Arabidopsis thaliana: one gene and its partner. The protein of the gene in region 2 interacts with the protein of the main gene of each other region in a pairwise test. Each region holds a gene or a part of one and is shown on either strand. Other genes may lie near its edges.

Evidence for each region.
Region 1: the proteins of BS14A (region 2) and AT5G66480 interact in a two-hybrid assay, tested with the Arabidopsis thaliana proteins (one large-scale study listed by BioGRID).

What each region holds. Positions count from the first base shown.
Region 1 is NC_003076.8:26,542,004-26,551,853, forward strand, and holds AT5G66480 (bacteriophage N4 adsorption B protein), read right to left. Parts: upstream 4,998-9,850; 5' UTR 4,817-4,997; intron 4,478-4,816; 5' UTR 4,474-4,477; coding exon 3,732-4,473; intron 3,410-3,731; coding exon 2,987-3,409; intron 2,904-2,986; coding exon 2,734-2,903; 3' UTR 2,538-2,733; downstream 1-2,537. Other genes in the region: AT5G66470 (GTP-binding protein Era-like protein), read right to left, coding at 1-69, 165-245, 486-587, 671-769, 920-1,045, 1,224-1,337, 1,417-1,557, 1,667-1,812 and 1 more; AT5G66490 (uncharacterized protein), read right to left, coding at 5,420-5,749; AT5G66500 (Tetratricopeptide repeat (TPR)-like superfamily protein), read right to left, coding at 6,073-7,671; GAMMA CA3 (gamma carbonic anhydrase 3), read right to left, coding at 8,013-8,252, 8,344-8,495, 8,584-8,742, 8,817-8,960, 9,379-9,493.
Region 2 is NC_003074.8:21,539,841-21,549,344, forward strand, and holds BS14A (BET1P/SFT1P-like protein 14A), read right to left. Parts: upstream 4,245-9,504; 5' UTR 3,936-4,244; coding exon 3,922-3,935; intron 3,648-3,921; coding exon 3,500-3,647; intron 3,222-3,499; coding exon 3,165-3,221; intron 3,076-3,164; coding exon 3,016-3,075; intron 2,882-3,015; coding exon 2,792-2,881; 3' UTR 2,519-2,791; downstream 1-2,518. Other genes in the region: XIJ (P-loop containing nucleoside triphosphate hydrolases superfamily protein), read left to right, coding at 1-137, 237-356, 476-1,126, 1,261-1,400, 1,531-1,787, 1,985-2,037; AT3G58180 (ARM repeat superfamily protein), read left to right, coding at 4,349-4,505, 4,857-4,990, 5,082-5,317, 5,403-5,541, 5,685-5,811, 5,907-6,025, 6,109-6,141; LBD29 (lateral organ boundaries-domain 29), read right to left, coding at 8,876-9,241, 9,358-9,504. UniProt on the Arabidopsis thaliana protein: Required for vesicular transport from the ER to the Golgi complex. Functions as a SNARE associated with ER-derived vesicles.

The DNA of each region.
Region 1 (9,850 bases), on a different chromosome or scaffold from region 2:
TCCTCCATAGCCGTAGTACTTGAGAAGCCCCTCGTCTTGTCTCCAGTTCTCTTTCACTTTCACTTCCACCTTCATTTAACATCATTCACTCACGTTGTTAACTTCCTATACTTGAAAATACCATTTTATGTAATCAATCATATTCTATGCAAATTTATGCGCACCTCGAGGAAGACTTTCTTCTGAAGGAAATCTTCAATGTCGAGCCGAGCAGCCGTTGCTAGTGTTTTCAGAGCCTTTCCTTCCTACATCATTACATTGACATTCATTCAGCCAAATTATTCAGCACTTAACTTATCTTAAGTTGAGATCTTATGGCTTAAAGACAATCTTTGAGCAGAACAGCTTTTAAATCCAAATTGCAGTCTCAAGTCAATTATAGGCAATGCACTTTTTGAATGTCCACAAAATCTAACTATGGAATTTCAGACCAAGAATGCAAAATCAGAAATTACCCGTTCGGATGTTGAGGGTTATACACTTACTTTTCCTATAAGGATGATCTTCTGAGAATTTTTATCCACTACTACTTCCACTTGAATAAAATCTTTTGCAGCTGGTCTAGTTTTGTAGCTCAGCACGTTCACCTGTAGTGTTAACAATGATTGATTAATAAGGCCACGGCTTTTCACAGGACTCAAGAGAAAAGAAACCAAACTTGTCATTGTACCTGACATGCATAAGGAACTTCATTTCGGTACTGCATAAATATTTTCTCTCTAACAATCTCAGAAACAAAAAATCTCTCTGGATGCTCGCTCACAATATCCTAGAAATCAAATAGCCGTAAGACATTAGGTAAGTGAATTGTTGCATCTGAAGCACAAACCTCAGAATATTAAGCAAATTAGACTATAAGCTTTAGCTATAGCAAGGAGAGGAATTCAATACTGAAGCAGGGAATTTTCATGCATAGTACCTTTGGATAATAAGGTGGCCCGAAGGGAAGTTTGGATAATATCCACTCTTTGACATCCTCTATTCCATGTCCATACTTTGCACTTACAGGTATAACTTCATCAACATCCGTAAATTTTTCATACCACTGCAAGGAGTTGCAGCATCTATTAAGCAAAGAACATAGCAATACCATGACTCCAAATCTTGATCTCAAGTTTATAGTGAAGCATCTTCCACCACTGCAAGTTCATTCTAGAATGGTGGGATTTTAATAACAGGACAGTATTACCAAGGTTCAAGGATAGCAACGACAGCATACTCACCTCCAGTTTCTTGGCAATCTCACCAGGTTTGATCAGATCTTTCTTATTCATAACAAGCAACATGGGTGGCTTTTTCTCAAGGTCTCCCAAACCCTCTTTCAAAACTTCTTCTATCTAAGCACACAACACCAGAAATTAGGACAGGAAACTAAACTAACAAAGCATGAGAAACAAATCAAACAGAGAAGCATACATTAGTAGGCGTTTTACAAGCATCAACAAGAATTACTACGCAGTCCGCATTGATGGCAGCATCTCTGACATTCTTCATCATCATTGTATCTAACCTGTGCATCTTCTTCTCAATTACACCAGGCGTATCATAAAGTATCATCTGCAACACAAGCTTGTATCAGTCGACATCTTAATTTCTATATCAAACCAAGCAATGAACACCTGGTTCTTTTAAGAGTCAAAAATCAATGAGGCTTAGATAAACAAACCTGATATTCAGGGCTAGAACAAATACCAAGAATCCGATGCCTCGTCGTTTGAGGTTTATCTGTAACAATCGATATTTTCTGACCAATCATTTGATTCGAAAGCGTGCTTTTCCCGACGTTGGGCATCCCCACCACCGCCACATATCCTATATAACATCCGTAATCACCAAATTCAGTTTCCCAGTCGTAATAACCAAATTTCAATTTCTCAGTAAGAATAGGGTTTAGGGAGAAAACAAACAAACCGCTCCGATGATGAGTATTAGGCGTGTGTCCAAGCTCCTCCATCTCATAATCGTCGAGCAACGCCATGTTTCTGTCCGGTTTCATGCTCAGGGAGAGAAGACTGGCTTCGTCGACGATATCGATCTCCACTTGTTCTTCATCATCTTCTAATTGTGCTTGCTCAACCTCCATTTCGCTGAAGCTTCGTTGCCTAATCCATAGCTTCTTCGAGGAGGAGAGTTCCGTCCGGCCATAGCTAGTGGTACTGTTGTGCGCCTGGAGATGTGATTTGGTAACTCTCCGCCGACTATAGATACGATACGGAGAGAAATTAGGGTTTTCAACAACGGAAGTAGAGAAGAATTTGTAGCGGGAAAGAGTAGGCGAAATATGCGGAGAGACCGCCATTGTTGGACTTGGTTTTTCAAATTGATAGCTCTCACTGGTTGGTTTTTCCTCACAGGTGCTTTCTTTAGTGATTAGCGAAGGAACCAAATATGATCTTCATACGACGCCGTTTCAGAATTTGTTATTTCCACTTACACCCCTTGTTAAATATAATTCCCATTTCAACCGCCTTTATTTTTCTTTACCCAGTTACCCCCCTCGTTAAATTTAAGAACCAACATAACAAAAGCAAGAATCAGGCACGGAACTTCTGGCTAATAATAACATTGCAAGTCAATAAGCGACACAAACAGAACCAAATTGGTATGACCTTGATCGTATGAAGCTGAGTTATGTCGTCATCATGAATGTTCTATACATTCTCTAGAAAAGGTTAAAACAAAACCCATTTTCCTATTTTTATTCACAAGGCCTGAAGCTTTGATTCAACCTCATTATGAATCTTTTGGAGACAGCTGAGGTTGAGCTTCATCTGATGATAACATTCCGGGAGGAAGGTACGACCAGGCCAAGACTCCACTCCCGAGTGTGATGGTTGCAGCTATTGATCCCCAAATCCACCTCTGCCTCCTCTTTCTCTTTTGCCCGTCTCGCCTTGCCACCTCTGATATCAAAGAGAGTTGAAGCATTGAGATAAAGAAAAATAAGATAAGACATTCTTGTAAATTTAACTTGAGTTTCTTCTACCTATGGCCTCTTGGTTGCGCTGGGACATTTCCTGGTTCACAGTCTCGTAATAATGAAGACGGTCAGACAACCGGGTGATTTCAAAGTTCTTAGCTTCGAGCTCAGCTTCCATCTCCATCTCTACCTCTGTCTTGGCCAAGTCACTGCCTAGTGTGTCGGAGACAAACCTGGTGACCTCAAGTTGACAACGTAGCTCATCAGCTAGGTTCATGCTGTATTGGCTTCTGGTGGGATCAAGAGGAAGGAACATACCCACATCGGCCAACTGGTCACGGAGCCTCCGCCAATGAACTTGCATTTGCTCTAGAGTCGCCTCTGCCTGCCTCCTCCTTTCGATTTCCATTAGTAAACCCAATCTCATCTCCCTTACCTCAGATTCAATGTTGTTAGCTGAACTCTGCATTCCACTGTCAGTTGATAGTTCTGGAAGCCAAGAAACAGTAACTGAATAAATTAAAACCAGTTTCTTAGATATACCAGTGAATCATGCATGCAGATTTTCTATGTCTTTGGAAATCTGATTCATAACTATCACGAATTCAAGATGACTATAAACACAGGAATCCCAAGCCTAAAAGGCCACTTCACAACCAAAATCACATACTGATATATGCATATAACACTTAAAACTAAAGGAGAAGAGGCTCCAAGAACTGGCAAAAAGTGATGATGCTAGAAATGTCAGACATCATAAGAATTTTCTAGCTATCTCGTGGTTAAAAAAGTTAGTAGGAAGAAACAGTACCATCGCAAGCATCATAAAACTCTCCAACATGTGTAGCAAGACTGTGTGAGCTTTCAGCTCTCTCGAAATCTTCTACCTCTGTGTTACTTGTGAAGCTTACTAATTCACCTGGGTTATAGAAATTTTCAGGCTCAAGCTCCTTGTCTGCTTTTATTCTTACCGGCTCCAATAAGTAACTTTGCCATTCTAAATTACTGGTAGCATTATTACTTCCAATCCCACCATTGCTGATATCTCTTCCCGACTTCTCGTTCAAAAATGTCCCAAGAGGGGGACTGCAATCCCAAACAGGACGTTCATGGATGCCTTGGGTGTGAACACCATTGGTGTGATCCACCGCAATAGCCTCGGTGATAGGAAATGATAGGGATGTGGACTTGCTCAAGGAGGCAGTAGCCTCCACATCTACATTACCACTAATCTTTTCCTCACCAGAGGTTATCGGGTGAGAAGGCCCATCCACCTCAGAGTCCCTATTGAAAAGAACAGGCCCACGAGCTTTGTGATTGATGATATAGGGAGATGGAGGGTAGGAAGAAGGCGAATTGGGATGAGGGATTTCTTTAGTAGTGGCATATAGAGAAGGTGACATCTGAGGACGAGTGAATGTCTTTTCTTTAGGTTGCTTACTTTCATCATTCAAAATAGACGGCTTTGACTGCAGTGTGCTTGGAAATTTACTAGATAAGGACGTCCCTGAATTTAGTGATCTACCCAAAGCGGCAGCAGAAAATGTAGGCATGACTCTGCATCATTGAAGATTTCAATTAGAAATCCACCAATAGGGATACACAACAGCGAGAGAGCGTTGTTCAACTAATAAAGTAATGAACATCGAGAGAGTCGATAACGGATAAACAAAAATCCAAATCAATGTCAAGCAATTAATAACCTATACAAACAAGCTAACAATCTGAGAGTTCAATTTCGGGAAGGAGCAAACCATAGAGTGCGAGATTATCAAACTAATCATTCAACATCAAGTAGCCTAAACTAAATTTAACAGAGATTATCACGGAACCAAGACCTTAATCATCAAATCGAACAGTCAGCAGCTAGCAAAATCACTCGATAGAAATAGTTACCTCGCGACAGAGCATCAATCGGAGAAGACGAAACGAAAAGATCAACGCAGACGGAGGAAGAAGAGACGATCGATTGATGGTAGATTGATATGACATGGTGCGAAAAAAGAGCAAACAGAGATTAGATATATACTGAGGAGGAGAGAAAAAAGAGAAACCTCTTCTCCAAGGCTTTAGTCGCAACAAACTCTTAATTTAAACCTCTTCACCAAGGCTTTCATTCGCAACGACCGCGTATCACGCTGGGTTTTGGGGAATCACCGGAACGGCTGCGTTTTGATGGGGTTTTGTATGTTTAGTGACGTGGCATCTCCTGGTGTTTCGGGTAGGCTTTTGTAGTCATCAGGGGCCCCACTGTGTTTATTCGTAAATTTGTAAACCCAGTCTGATTACTGATAACAAGTAATAAACCGAGAATTTTTCTTACTATCAAACTGTAAACTTAAATTACATGGATTTGTCCACAAAGAAGCAGAATCATGGCTTATGGACGAGCTTTCTACTTTGATGTATGTATGTATTCATCCTTCTTATTCAAATAGAAAGGTATATCACAAATCGAAAATAAATATAAACAACCTCTGTGAAATCTCTTTCTCCGATCTATCTGTAATATATGGCAGGTCCATTTGAAGTGTTATCCCAAACACCTCCTTCCTTGACATACTCCAAGTACCTAGCGAATTCTGGTTTTGCAGTCGTCGTGCTCTTCTTCTTCTTCTTCCTCTTTAGACTCATTTCGAAGAAACTAAATAGAGGGTGAGCCGAACCCCTGGTTTTCTCCACCGGTTTATTCACCTTCGGGGATTGACCATGGGGATTTGTAGGAACGCTCTCCGGTTTCACTTCTAAAAGCCCTGCGCCTGCTTCTTCTTCGTCGCCGAGCTTCTTGTAGCTGCCTCGAACCTTCCTCGTGCTCAGCGCTCTAATCATTATTTCTTGTGGTTTTGATCAATTCTCTCTGGTGATATGTTTTTAAGAAAGGATAGATTTTGAAAAGGACACATCTTTTGACTTCTCTTCTCCTTATCCCAACGACTCCTTTAACTTAAACCTTATGTGACATTGCCCTTTCACCTACTACTATTCGTGGGTCAATGCTACTTTATTTTTGACTATGTCTTCTTTGGTGTTTGACTTAATTAGGACAACGAGACAGTTCCACAACAATGCTTTAGACTTTAGTGGACTTGCTCTGTTTCTTGACACAAAAACAGTAGCTCAAGTGTAGTGTAATGCTGAAAAAACAAAGCAATTCATATGAATAAGCTGTGTCCTGCTGTTTTAACCAAACCTTTATTCTTCAGTTTTCCTCTCAATTCTTCAACGACATCCCACTTCCCCATCGCTGCATAGAAATTCGAAACCAACACATAAATGCTCGCGTTCTCTGGACCCGTCTCTTCCATAAGCCTCCTTGCTACATATTCGCCTCGCGTAAGATCCATATTAAGACTACAAGCACTGAGTACCGCTACCCATATAGCACAAGGAATGCTTTGATTATCGTTCTCCATCATTCTCTCGACTAATCTCCATATCTCTTCTGTCTCACCAGCCTTGCTTAAGATATCGATGAAGCATACGTAATGCTCTGTTCCAGGAACCAACCGATACTTCTCCTTCATCATACCAAAACATTCCTTACCTTCTTTAACTAGTCCTGCGTGTGCACAAGCCGATATAACAACAAGAAATGTCACTGAATTCGGTAAAACTCCGCTTCCTTCTTCACACATTTCCCTGAAGATTTCAAGAGCTTTAACCCCATCCCCATTAACCGCATACGCATCTATCATACTCGTCCAAGAAACCACACTTTTAGATGGAATAGCTCTGAAAATAGTACGCGCTTGCACAATCTGACCGCATTTTCCATACATATCCATTAAGCCATTGCATAGCTTAGAATCTGAAACGAAACCATTACGTAAAGCGACACAGTGTATCTGTTTACCAATCCACAGATCAGAGTTATCAGAGCAGCCAGCAAGAGAGCTACTGAGCACTCTCACATTGGGTCTCTGCCTACTCATAAGCAGAAACGCTTCCTTGTAATTTCGGTTTCGAATGCAACCTGATATCAAAGAATTCAACATCACCTCGTCCGTATGAACATTCAAACTGTTATAAACCTTCATGGCTTCATTGATCAAACCTACACTCGAGTAAAAACTAATCATTGCAGTTCCTAAAACCACGAGATCGCGTCCGGTGACCACCACCATGGCATGAACTTGCTTCCCTTGCTGCAAAATCTTGAGAGAGGCACAAGTTTTAACAACAGAAGACAAAGTGAACTCACTGATTTCTACTCTTTCTCTATACATAGCTGCGAAAACGCCAAGAGCTTCTTTGCCTTTACCGTTTCTAAGGAAACCCGAAAGCAGAGCATTCCATGAGACGAGATCTTTTTCCTCAACGCTTTCGAATACCCTAACGGAATCAACCAAGTGTCCGTACTTGGAGTACATGTCAATAAGCGCAGTTTTGGATATGGTTCCTGTTTCAGCGCCTTGTTTGATCATCAAGGCGTGAACTTGGCGTCCTGTTTCTGGGTACGACAAGAGGGAACAGGCCCCGAGAACCGGAGTGAAAGTGTGCGAGCTGAGATCAGGGCTAGCCCTATGAATCTGAAGAAAGAGAGCCAAGGTGTCATTTGGGTTTCCACTGCGGAGGTGAGACGAGAGTTGAGAGTTAAGTGAGGAGAGGTCTCGTTGCGGCAATTCGTCGAACAGGTGGTCGGCATGGGTGGCAAAATTTCGGATAAAGACACACCTCAGTACCAAATTAGTGGATTTAACGGTAACGTTACCCAGACGAATAAAGCGTCCAATACGCAAACATGCGAACATGTTTTACTTGTTACCGCTACAGACGAAACTTATTGAAGCAGAGCTATCTTTTTATGGGCAAAGGTCAACCTAAATGTCTGTCTGATCAACAATTTATTAGACGACATAAAAAGGAAGAAAAGGTTACAACTTTTCTTTCTCAAGTTACAAGAGAACAAAACCCCTCACAATCTTTAACAGAGAAATGAATGCCTTTAAGCCGAAAACTTTCCCAGTGAGCACTGGCCAATGGATTTTACGCCCAAGAAAACTTTATTGGAGAAGCAGGAAATCAAGTTCTTTGTTTTTACTTTTCAAATCCAAACAAATCAAGATTCGCAAGGCGGCACAGGTTAAACGCCTCAAGCTGCTTTTGGTACATTCTCAGGGAGCGTGAGATCATCGAGTACTGAATCATATTCTGTATCGCGAGCGTTCTTCTTGTTTAGAAGCTTCTTGAACTCAGCCTCGTCCAAGTTCTTTGCGTTCTCTGTGGCGTGAGCTTGAGCTAAGTTGGAGTACTCCACAGCCGAACTGGAGAAGAAGACTCTTTCTTCTTCTGTCACCTTCCTCAGAAATTTAGCTGGGTTGCCTCCCCAAACCTGCAAGGAAAACCAGAATTGTAATTTCACCAGAGCTTAAGCGAATAACAAACGTTTGAGAAGGTCAACATATAAGAGCGTGGCTAAGAACCTCGCCAGAGGGAATTCTAGTGTTCTGCCTAACAAGAGCTCCTGAAGCAACCATGGCATGTTTTTCAACATGAGCTCCATCCAAGACAGTTGCACTTGTACCAATATAGGCCTCATCCTCGACAGTGCAGCCATGTAAAACAGCACTATGACCTGCTCCAAATTCAATTTGCTTTATCCATTACCCTGACTTTAATATTCACACTTCAATTTTATGACAGCAAATGTATTGAGAATTTACCAATGGTGACATTGTCTCCAATGACAGTAGGTAAGACCTTCCCACTTAAGTTGGTCTTAGCAACGTGGACAAGAGCGTTGTCCTGAATATTGGTCCCAGCTCCAACACTAATGCTGTTAGCATCTCCTGCAGAGTCGGTCATTAAATCAAAGGGTATGTCTGAACTAAAGAGTGCCTATCCTCTCAATGAAAGCACATTTGAATCAACAATGTCAAATACTCCAGCAGCTTACCTCTCAAGACACATCCATACCAAATGGAAGAACCTCTTCCCACATGGACATCACCAGAGAGAGAAGCGTTAGGAGCCACAAAAGCCCCCTTATCCACATTAGGGGTTTTGTCAAAAACATTCATGAGTGTGCGGTGCCTTGATACTGGAACAAAAAAAGAGTTTCAGAAGATAGACAAGTGAACCACCCATCATAGCACAGGCTAACACATAACAGACTTGTCTAAGTGAAGAAGATTTCAACTAGGATAATAACTAGCCAAATACAGAGAACATAAGAGGAACTTGTAAGAGAAAATTAACGAGAATCTCTCTTCGCAACCACAGAAATGGATACCGTCACTAGCAAAATGAAGAACATTTGATCTTAAGCTCTAAGGTTTCTAATCAAAAATGCCATAATCAATCATCAACATAAGAGGAAACGCATCAATCAAAACTATGACCTGATTCCAGAGAAATACACAAACATTTCGAAGACCCGACGAGTAATGAAACAAAAAAAAATCATCACCAGGATTCGAATGGAACTAAGAGAAGACAAGGCGATCCAAAAGACATACGCTGTTCTCGGAAATGATTTTTCCCTTGGAGGCGACAACCGAGCCGATCAAGTGCTTGACCAGTTTCACGGATCCAGAATCCTACGCTGTAGAATGCTTTACCCATTGTTCCCATCGTGTTCTTCTTCTTCTTCCACACGAGAGATCGATTTGCGTTTTATCAATGAAATCGAAAAGGGGTTTTTCGCCGGAGCCAGAGGAAGAGGAGAGAGTGCAGTCTTTGACGACTCATCCCCATTTGTTGGTTTTGTGCTCAATTTTCGGTCGGACCGTTATTATCCGGTTCATGTTATTTCAGGTTGCTGTTGGTAAAATTAGGAGGTAAATTTATGGTGATTATGGTAATTCTTCGCCACGTCACTTTATCCTTTTAAGTCTCGAACAAACGGCACACACTTTGGCGTCCACTGAGAATTGAGAATATAGTTATCATCAACATCAACCAAAGAAGAACCTTATCTCTCAAGAGGTC
Region 2 (9,504 bases):
TACGTAGACAGATTGCAAAGAAAGATTACGGGAAGACCAAATCTTCCGCACTCACCTTGCAAAGTGGAGTCCGCACAATGGCTGCACGTCATGAATTCCGTTATAAATTAACCACTAGGGCAGCAACTGTGATTCAGGTTCTATTCTCATTACTACCCTTTCGTACTTAACAAGTTCTCATGGAATCATTCTATCTCAAGAACTATAAATGACGTTCAACTCTAATCAACTTGCAGGCGTATTGGCGTGGTTACAGTGCTATATCTGACTACAAGAAACTGAAAAGAGTTTCTCTTCTTTGTAAAAGTAATCTCAGAGGAAGAATTGCCAGAAAACAGTTGGGACAGTCAAAGCAGGTATTGCAAACCAATCCCTGCACGTTTGTTTTTAGTATCAAGTGTTTTCAATTACTCAGCATGTAGGGATACGTAGAAAAAAGTATCTGGTTTTGATTGATGTAAAATCATATGTATAGGCTGACAGAAAAGAAGAGACAGAAAAGGAACGCAAGGTGGAACTTTCCAATAGAGCAGAAGAGGCAGTTGATATGTCCTTTGTACTGCATTCAGAGCAAAGTGATGATGCAGAGAGTGGACATGGACGAAAGGCAAAACTTTCTATTGAATCAGAAGATGGACTTGATAAGTCCTCTGTATTGCATTCAGAACAAAGTGATGATGAAGAGTTGGGACATGAAAGAAAGACAAAACTTTCCATCGAATCAGAAGATGGGCATTCAGATCAGAGTGATGATGAAGAGATAGAACATGAAAGAAAGACAAAACATTGCATCCAAGCAGAAGATGGAATTGAGAAGTCCTATGTAATGCATTCAGATCAAAGTGATGATGAAGAGATAGGACATAAAAGAAAGACAAAACATTCCATCCAAGCAGAAGATGGAATTGAGAAGTCCTTTGTAGTGCATTCAGATCAAAGTGATGATGAAGAGATAGGACATGAAAGAAAGACCAAACATGCCATCCAAGTAGAAGATGGAATTCAGAAGTCCTTTGTTACCTGTTCAGAGAAGCCTTACAACACGTTTTCTGTTGTTAGTCAAATAACGAGTCCTATTCGTGATACAGAAATTGAATCCCTCACTGCAGAAGTTGAGATGCTGAAGGTAATGTTTCTATCATCCACCAACATTGTGAATAGATTTTAGAAACAGCGTGCTAATATCCTGAACAATATATTGCGGCTATCATCTTGATCAAATGCATGGAGGATAAATTTTATATTTATGGTATTTTTCAGGCCTTATTGCAAGTTGAGAAACAAAGAGCTGACATTTCCGAAAGAAAATGTGCTGAAGCCCGAGAACTTGGGGAGAGAAGACGTAAAAGATTAGAAGAAACAGAAAGAAGAGTTTACCAGTTACAAGACTCTTTGAACAGGTATTATTGAATCGTAATTTTAACAACCATAGATTATCTTCCTTCCTACAATTTTTACTCCTTGGTTAAAAAATTTAATTAATAAATCTAGTACATTTAATGATGATAAGTCTTGTTTAGTGTATTCCAGGTTGTTATATTCTATGTCGGACCAATTCTCGCAACTGAAGTCCATCTTGAGATCTCCTTCTATGTCAGCTTCAACAATGGCCTCAGCGCCAGTTGTGCGTGATGATCTTGCTGACAGCTCTGAGAACTCTGAAGCTTCATCAAGTGATTCCGATTTCACTTTTCCTGCTCCATCTCCTTCCTCAGACAATTTTTCGACTTTTAACCCGAATCAGCTGCAAGTCATTGTTCAGGATCTATCAACCACAGAAGCCAAAGGTCAGTGGTAATAGCACTAAAATCCCATGAAAGATTGCAATTCATTTGTGTTTTTCTTTTTTTGGACAATTTTTTTAATTCATTTCCTTTTTGTTACACTAGCCTCTAAATCCACCTTAATATAAACATTTTGCACATGGTATACATTGTTAATGGAATCATCCTTCTTCTCATCTTGTAGAACAATAATATTGCAGGAACTGAGAGCTACGACAGTGATAAGGAAGGGGGCTTCGAAGATTACTTTTGATCATGAAGTGCAGACTTGATCTCTTCACAAGATTTTTGGAGTTCTGACAATCTCTTTACTCCATTGTTGTGCCACAGGGCAAATGTTATAGTGTTTACACTTAGTTCCAACTGCAATTTGTATTTTCCTCAGGAATAGATGCTGCAATAACTATGTAGGGTCATTAAGATATGTCAAGTTCCATGTTGTTAATTGCATACACAAGCCATGTTTGTTACTTCACTAATACAATTGTTGCTCAATTTCAGAATTACTAATTTGCTTTGTTTTGTCCTCATCATTTCGAGGTGTGAGTTTTGAATTCTTCCTGCAATTTTAGTTCCATGAATGAGATCATTGTTAGTCCATGAATGAGAAAATACAGTATCCAATATCTTAGTTTTGTACGAACTACTTTTCAACAAGCACCAGTGGTCTAGTGGTAGAATAGTACCCTGCCACGGTACAGACCCGGGTTCGATTCCCGGCTGGTGCAAAAAGTATCAATATGCTATTTTTTCGTAGGTCCAAAATTTGAACAGTCGCTATTTATACATAAAGGAAGTAAAACACTCTATAAAATCCAAATATATTAAACTTTTTATAAGTTTTATGAAATGTGTCCTCATCCCAAGCACTAGAGCACACTATAACACTGGAGGCATACATCATTACACTGGTTGGTGACAATTAGATCGTAGGAGCCAACAGAGAGAGACTGGGAATATCATGAGATCATGGATGAATGTTCAGGAATACTCCGGGTTTGCCAATTTTACCGAGTAAGATAGTATATGACTAGAAATAAACCAACAAACGATGCCACGAGCGTCAGCATTCTTCGGCTTGACTTTGTCTCAAACACCTGCAAGGATTCGATTCAACATATCAAAGACACAGACACAGACACACCAAAAAAACAAACATGTCAAAGACACTTTGCAACACATAATGAAGCTAGGCTTAGGGTTCTGAGAGAGTATTTCTAGTCAGATATACCGTTTTAAAGCGGTCCATGGTTCCTGAGAGAAATCCCCTTGATGAATCCATATCATTGCCCTACATAGAAACCTTGCAAAATGTTCAGTAACAATAGCGTCTGTGAGCAAATGATAAAATATAAGTATCACAAATATTCTGGTAAATACCATTCTGTCAAGCATGCGGTTATGAGTATCGACCTCTTCATTTATATCGCCAGATAGCTGTTTCATGAAAAAAGAAACAAATAAGAATCTGGTTCAAACCTAGTTGTGCATATAGAGTCCAACTACAACAACAATGTTGAACCAATAAAACTATGTTACGGTTTCCATACTAATCCTATGGGCAGTAAGTAGTAGATACAGAAACTCATTAGTGTACAAAATGAATTGCAAGTGTATGTTCCTATTACGTTTAGGGCTTACTTCATATTCCTAATCCTACTGAAAAGTGCTGAACACAAGTTTGAACATGACAGAGGAACCAGAGGCAGGCTTACTCGTTTTAAGAGAATGACTCTATCTTGCAATCCCTCCAAGGCACGCTCATTCTCATGTTCATTGATCTCATGAGAGTAAGAAGAAGCAGCTCTAATTCCTCCCTCTTCGATGCCATCAAAGAGAGAACTTCTACCACCACGAGGCTCCCTGAAATCAAAATTAGACCTCAGCAAAGAAACAGTAACATCTTCCACTCAATCTAAATTAGATGAATTTGAAACTGATCCAAATCTATCAGAATACAGAGCAACAGTCCTATTCTACTGCTCCTTCAGATCTTCCCGATGAAACCTAATCTACAAATTAACGAGCTCATGAAAACACATCTAATCATCAGATTTCGCTAGATCTTAACCTCCAAATTCTAACCAAAGATGTGTTTGAAAAAGTAGCGATTTGAAATCATTCAAGGAGAGCTAACCTTCTAGGATTCATCGATCAATCGAATTAACGTTTTGATCCTCCAACGATGTCTCGATTTCGCTTCAAGATGTTTTCCAGAATTCACCTGGATCTATGGTTTCACAACGAACGCAAATTAAGGAAGGAAACGGTTGATATGTCGAAAGAACAGAAAGCTCTGTGTTTATCGTTCTTAAGCGAATCAACACTCAACAACACGTGTATACGCAAGTAATGGATAATAGAAACTATGGGGTCAAATTTAAAATCAATAAATTGTTTTGGACCAAATATAGATTTCGTTATTTCCGGAATAGGTCCCGCGTTTTTTTTCTCTTTTTCACGAATCAGATTCTCTTCTCTTTTGTATACAAAAACCCTAGTCGACGGCGCTGTTACACCGTCGTCCAGATTTTTCAAACGCCGACGAAGCTGATTTAGTGAATATGGAATCTAATGGATCAGTTTCATCGATGGTTAACTTGGAGAAGTTTCTCTGTGAGCGATTGGTGGACCAGTCACAACCAATCTCGGAGCGATTTAGAGCTCTCTTCTCTCTTCGCAACTTGAAAGGCCCAGGACCTCGCAACGCTCTAATCCTTGGTTTGTTTTAACACTGCTGCTCAAAATCTTGTCTTTTTTATATAAAGTCTATTTCTACAAAAAAAAATTGTTACTTTGGGAAAGAAAGATATTGGCGCTTGATGAATGTAGAAACTCTGATTCTTTTATTTGTGTTTTCTTTGAAGCTTCTGTATAAGGCTAAATTGAAAGTCTTTGCAGTTTGATTTTATAGCTGCTATTTGATTGATGCACCTAAAACTACATACAAGTTTCCACATTTTTACTTTTAGTTAATGATTGAACAGAGCTTCTTCAAGCTTTGTGTGCTGATATGGTGTGTTACTGCTTGTGTTTAACTTCTGGTTTATCTTTTTTTTCCATGTCCTGCAGCATCCAGAGACTCATCTAATTTGTTAGCACATGAAGCTGCATTTGCATTGGGTCAGATGCAAGATGCTGAAGCCATTCCTGCTCTTGAGTCGGTTCTTAATGATATGTCTTTGCATCCAATAGTACGACATGAGTTGAGTATAAGTTGATCCTTATTTTCTCTGTATCAGTATAAGCTTTTTGATTCTTTCATATCACTGATTCGCTGTTAATATATTATTACAGGCAGCAGAAGCCCTTGGAGCTATTGGTTTGGCGGGTAATGTTAACATTTTAAAGAAAAGCTTGAGCTCGGATCCAGCTCAGGAGGTTCGGGAAACATGTGAATTAGCTCTCAAAAGGATTGAAGACATGAGTAACGTTGATGCCGAGAACCAGTCATCAACGACAGAGAAATCACCTTTCATGTCTGTTGACCCAGCAGGCCCAGCTGCGTCTTTCTCTTCTGTTCACCAACTCAGGTTCTTCCACTCTTGACCACCTCAACATTCTCTAGATTATTTAATATTTTGTAGCACGTTATTGATTAAGATCATCGAACTACAGGCAAGTTCTCCTGGATGAAACAAAAGGCATGTATGAGAGATATGCTGCACTGTTCGCTCTAAGGAATCATGGTGGAGAGGAAGCTGTTTCTGCCATAGTTGATTCTTTGAGTGCTAGTAGTGCCCTTCTACGTCACGAGGTTTGTCAACTTTCCTGTATTATGTTCATGAACTTGAATGTGTCTGTTTTTGTTAAAATCTTGTACCTTGAATCTTTGCTTTATTGCTCTCGAACCTTAAATCTGTATAAGTGCTGCCTTGTAATTGATGCAATTTTTCTTAGGTTGCTTATGTCTTGGGTCAGTTGCAAAGTAAAACTGCTTTAGCTACTCTAAGCAAAGTACTTAGAGATGTGAATGAGCACCCAATGGTTAGACATGAGGCTGCAGAAGCGCTTGGTTCTATTGCTGGTATCTTCCCTAAAATGCTTAGTTTGAGATTACAACAATCTACTGTCTTAGTCTTTAGTCTTTACTTACTCTTCACATTGCTCGGCCCTTTTCAGATGAACAGAGCATTGCTTTGCTAGAAGAATTCTCAAAGGACCCTGAGCCAATTGTTGCACAAAGCTGTGAAGTAGCATTGAGTATGTTGGAATTTGAAAATTCCGGGAAATCGTTTGAGGTAAAAACACATTGATCCCAAACTCTTACACTTATATATATCTAATAAATCTGTAATGACCCCATATCGAAACATTTTTGCAGTTTTTTTTCACGCAAGACCCGCTTGTTCACTAAGAATCTCAATCATTCTTCGTCAAACATTTACCGACAAAGGAAAGCAAACATTTTATACAGAGAGAGAAGAAACTGCTACTTTAACATGTCTTTATGTACGATTATAAATAACTCTATTCATATGTTTAAGGTTAAGATTACATTGTCTTATGGTACGGAAGCTTTTCATTGTTGAAGAAAGAGAATCCTTTGTGTTTTATTTTCTTGTTTCTTAACCGTTTCTTTAGAATCAAACATAGAAGAGTAAGATATACATAGAAAATAACACATCCCAGGAATGAATGTTATCTTTGCTCATGTCAAGTTTTAACAATAAGAGGACCACACTTTAGTTCTAAGTTGTAGTACTGTACTAAAGATTGAACATGTTTACCTAACTATAATTAAGAAGTTTTAAGAATCTTTATTAAAAACAAAAACTGTAATAAAGAAGTGTCTTACTTATTGGTATTTTTAGACATAATGTCCCCTGAATAGGATGCAACTTAACTACTTTGTTCTTTGTCACTTCTAAATGCTTTAATTATCTTTTAATCATTTCATTGGTTTTGTTTATGCGAAGTTTGATTAGTCTCATCTAATCCAATTTGGAATTTCCCACCAAGAAGCTTCTCTAGTTGATTACTCATCAAATTTCCCAACTGATTGATTAGTGACAATGACACCAATGGAACACGATCGAATTCTTGTCCTTTTCGGTTCTTACTTTATTTTTGTCTAAAAAATGCTAAAACAATAAGAAGAAAAAAGAGTTTGACCAAAAAGAAGAAGAAGAAGAGCACAAAAGAGTAGCGAAGCCCTTGACTTTGACAGTAGCAAAGCTCACACGTGTGACCAAACTCTTTTTTGCAGGCTCAGCGGCTTTGACAGTGGGACTCGCACAATTTTTTTGAAAAAACTACGAATAAGTTTTTTTTAGTATATGGTTATAATTGAATTAAGGTCCTTGAATTAAATGTTTTACTAGTGTTCTCTCACTCGGGAGAAAAACTTTACCCTCAACATAACCCCTAAGATTGCTGGGCCTAGAGACGAAAAGTCTAATTGCACAGGTATTCTAATCTTGATATCCCTAATGGGCTTTATGTTCTTCTACTCTAGTCTATTCGTACACGCAAACATATTTGATATTTGTATTGAATATCATTTCGATTATTTTGTCTTGTAAATCTACAACCGACCCAGTGATACTTTAAACCTAGTTGATATATAAAAAGACGTAGCAACATAAGAAATTGGGGGTTGTATCAAGTAGTTCAAACTAGTTGCTAAGTGGATTGTATGCTCATACTACTTTTCATAACATGATATTATATATATATCCAGATATTAGTGGATGTGATCATGTAGATGAACCCTAAATCCATATCCAGCTATTAGCTACTTGCTCGTACAAAATAAGAAACATGGGTCTCATATATCCAGTGATCCTTTTAGCGCTTAAATAGAAGTAGACGAATCTACTATAGATATGGTCCATAGTTTGTGGATCTATTAGAGCATTTGCATTGGTTAACTATTGGTAAGTGTGTCTTTAAAATTTAATAATAATACTTTTTATTTAGTTTAATTATTTAATTTATTTAAAATATGAAAACAAATGAGGAGTTGACACGGGGAGAACCATATAAGAGAGAGAGTATTCAAATGTCTTTGGGTAGACCCTCTGTAACTAAAAATGACTACTGTTCTCTTTTTATAATATTTTCTAAAACTAAAGACCCTCATTTTTACGTGAAATGCAGATGGTCTTAAAATGTATGTATATCTTTATAACTCAATTAATTAGTTAAATCTAGGATTGCGTTTTACGTAAATGATGATATATCAATGAACAAAGTAAATATTTGAAATTAACTATTAGCAACAACCAGGCAACTAATTAAATTTTGCAGAACAGTTAGAGTTAGAACCAAAATAGTTTTATAAAACTTCTTTTTAAATCCGGAAAAATAAAAAATAAAAATAAGATGAGAAGTCATAAGTGTTAAAGTTGTGTCTACAAAATTTGAAGATAATGATGAAACATCGACGAATGTATGTATTTGAACTACAACATCAACAAACAAAATTATATGTAGTCTGATAAGCACTTCTTGATAAAGATGTCACAGACAATCGATTCGATAATGAGCATTAATTATCTATATGTATATAACTGATATGCCAATAATTTGGAGAGTATATCCAACTACTTAACATGTTTACATACTTAACCAATATCGAGGGAATTTTCGACCATGTTAAAAAAAAACTTTTAAAAAAAAAAGATCATAATTTACTAAGAAATGATCCACAATCCGCTTTCTCCAATATCGAGGGAAATTCACGACCAGGTCAGGTGTACTAAAGACTGTACGTACTAGCAGAATCTAAAGAATCAGGACAAACAGAGTTTGGCGAGCTAGTTAGGGATTTCTGTCGTTTTATCAAGATCATGATTAAAATTGTGACGATATGGAGAAGAATAACATGATATATTTTGTGCAAATATAACACTCAAAAATCGAAATATACTCTAAAAAAAACATCTTGAGGATGTAAATATATATCTTTATATATTTCTAGGGCATCTACTACTTTTATTTATAAATACAAATCCGGTTCTTTGAGCTACGGAACATTTTCAATCGAAACTAAAACCATCAAAAAATCTTCAAACATTATATATAAGCTATATATTATATAGATCGGATATAGATAAGAATCAACCCATATTCTTGATAGAACCATATCACGAGAAGGAGATGTAGCCAAAATTTGCTGATTGAAGCTCTTTGAGATGATCCTGATTGAAAGTGTTCAGGTGTTGTTCCAAGTCAGAGTAGATGGAGAATTCCCCCATGCCTGAGGAGGTTTCGTTGTGGTAACTACTCTCTGTGGCATCCCCGTGTTGAACCGTCCCAGAACTTCCAGTTTGGTAAACCAAATGGGTCTGATCATGATGATGATAAATATTTTGATGATCATGATGATAAGGAGCCTTAGTAGTGTCTCCATAGTAACTATTAGGGTTTTCTGATGTTGGTGAATCAGCAAAAATCATGCTTTGTGCTGCTTGTTGCTTTAGAATCTCAAGTTCTGCTTGTAAATTCACAACCTATAAACCCAACAAAAAGAACTAATTAATTACAAAATGTCATGCCGATTAAATATATTTATGTAGATATACATATAGTTTTGTGAAAGTATCATGATTAGGGTTCTGAAAGGTACCTGTTGTTGGAGAGCAAAGATATGAGAAACACAGCCATAGATGGGATCTTGAAGCCTAGCTTGAGCTTCATAAGAGATTGTAATAGCGGCTTCACAGCGATCGCTAATGGGAAGATGAGAGAGCAACTTAGAAGCATTGCTAGCTCC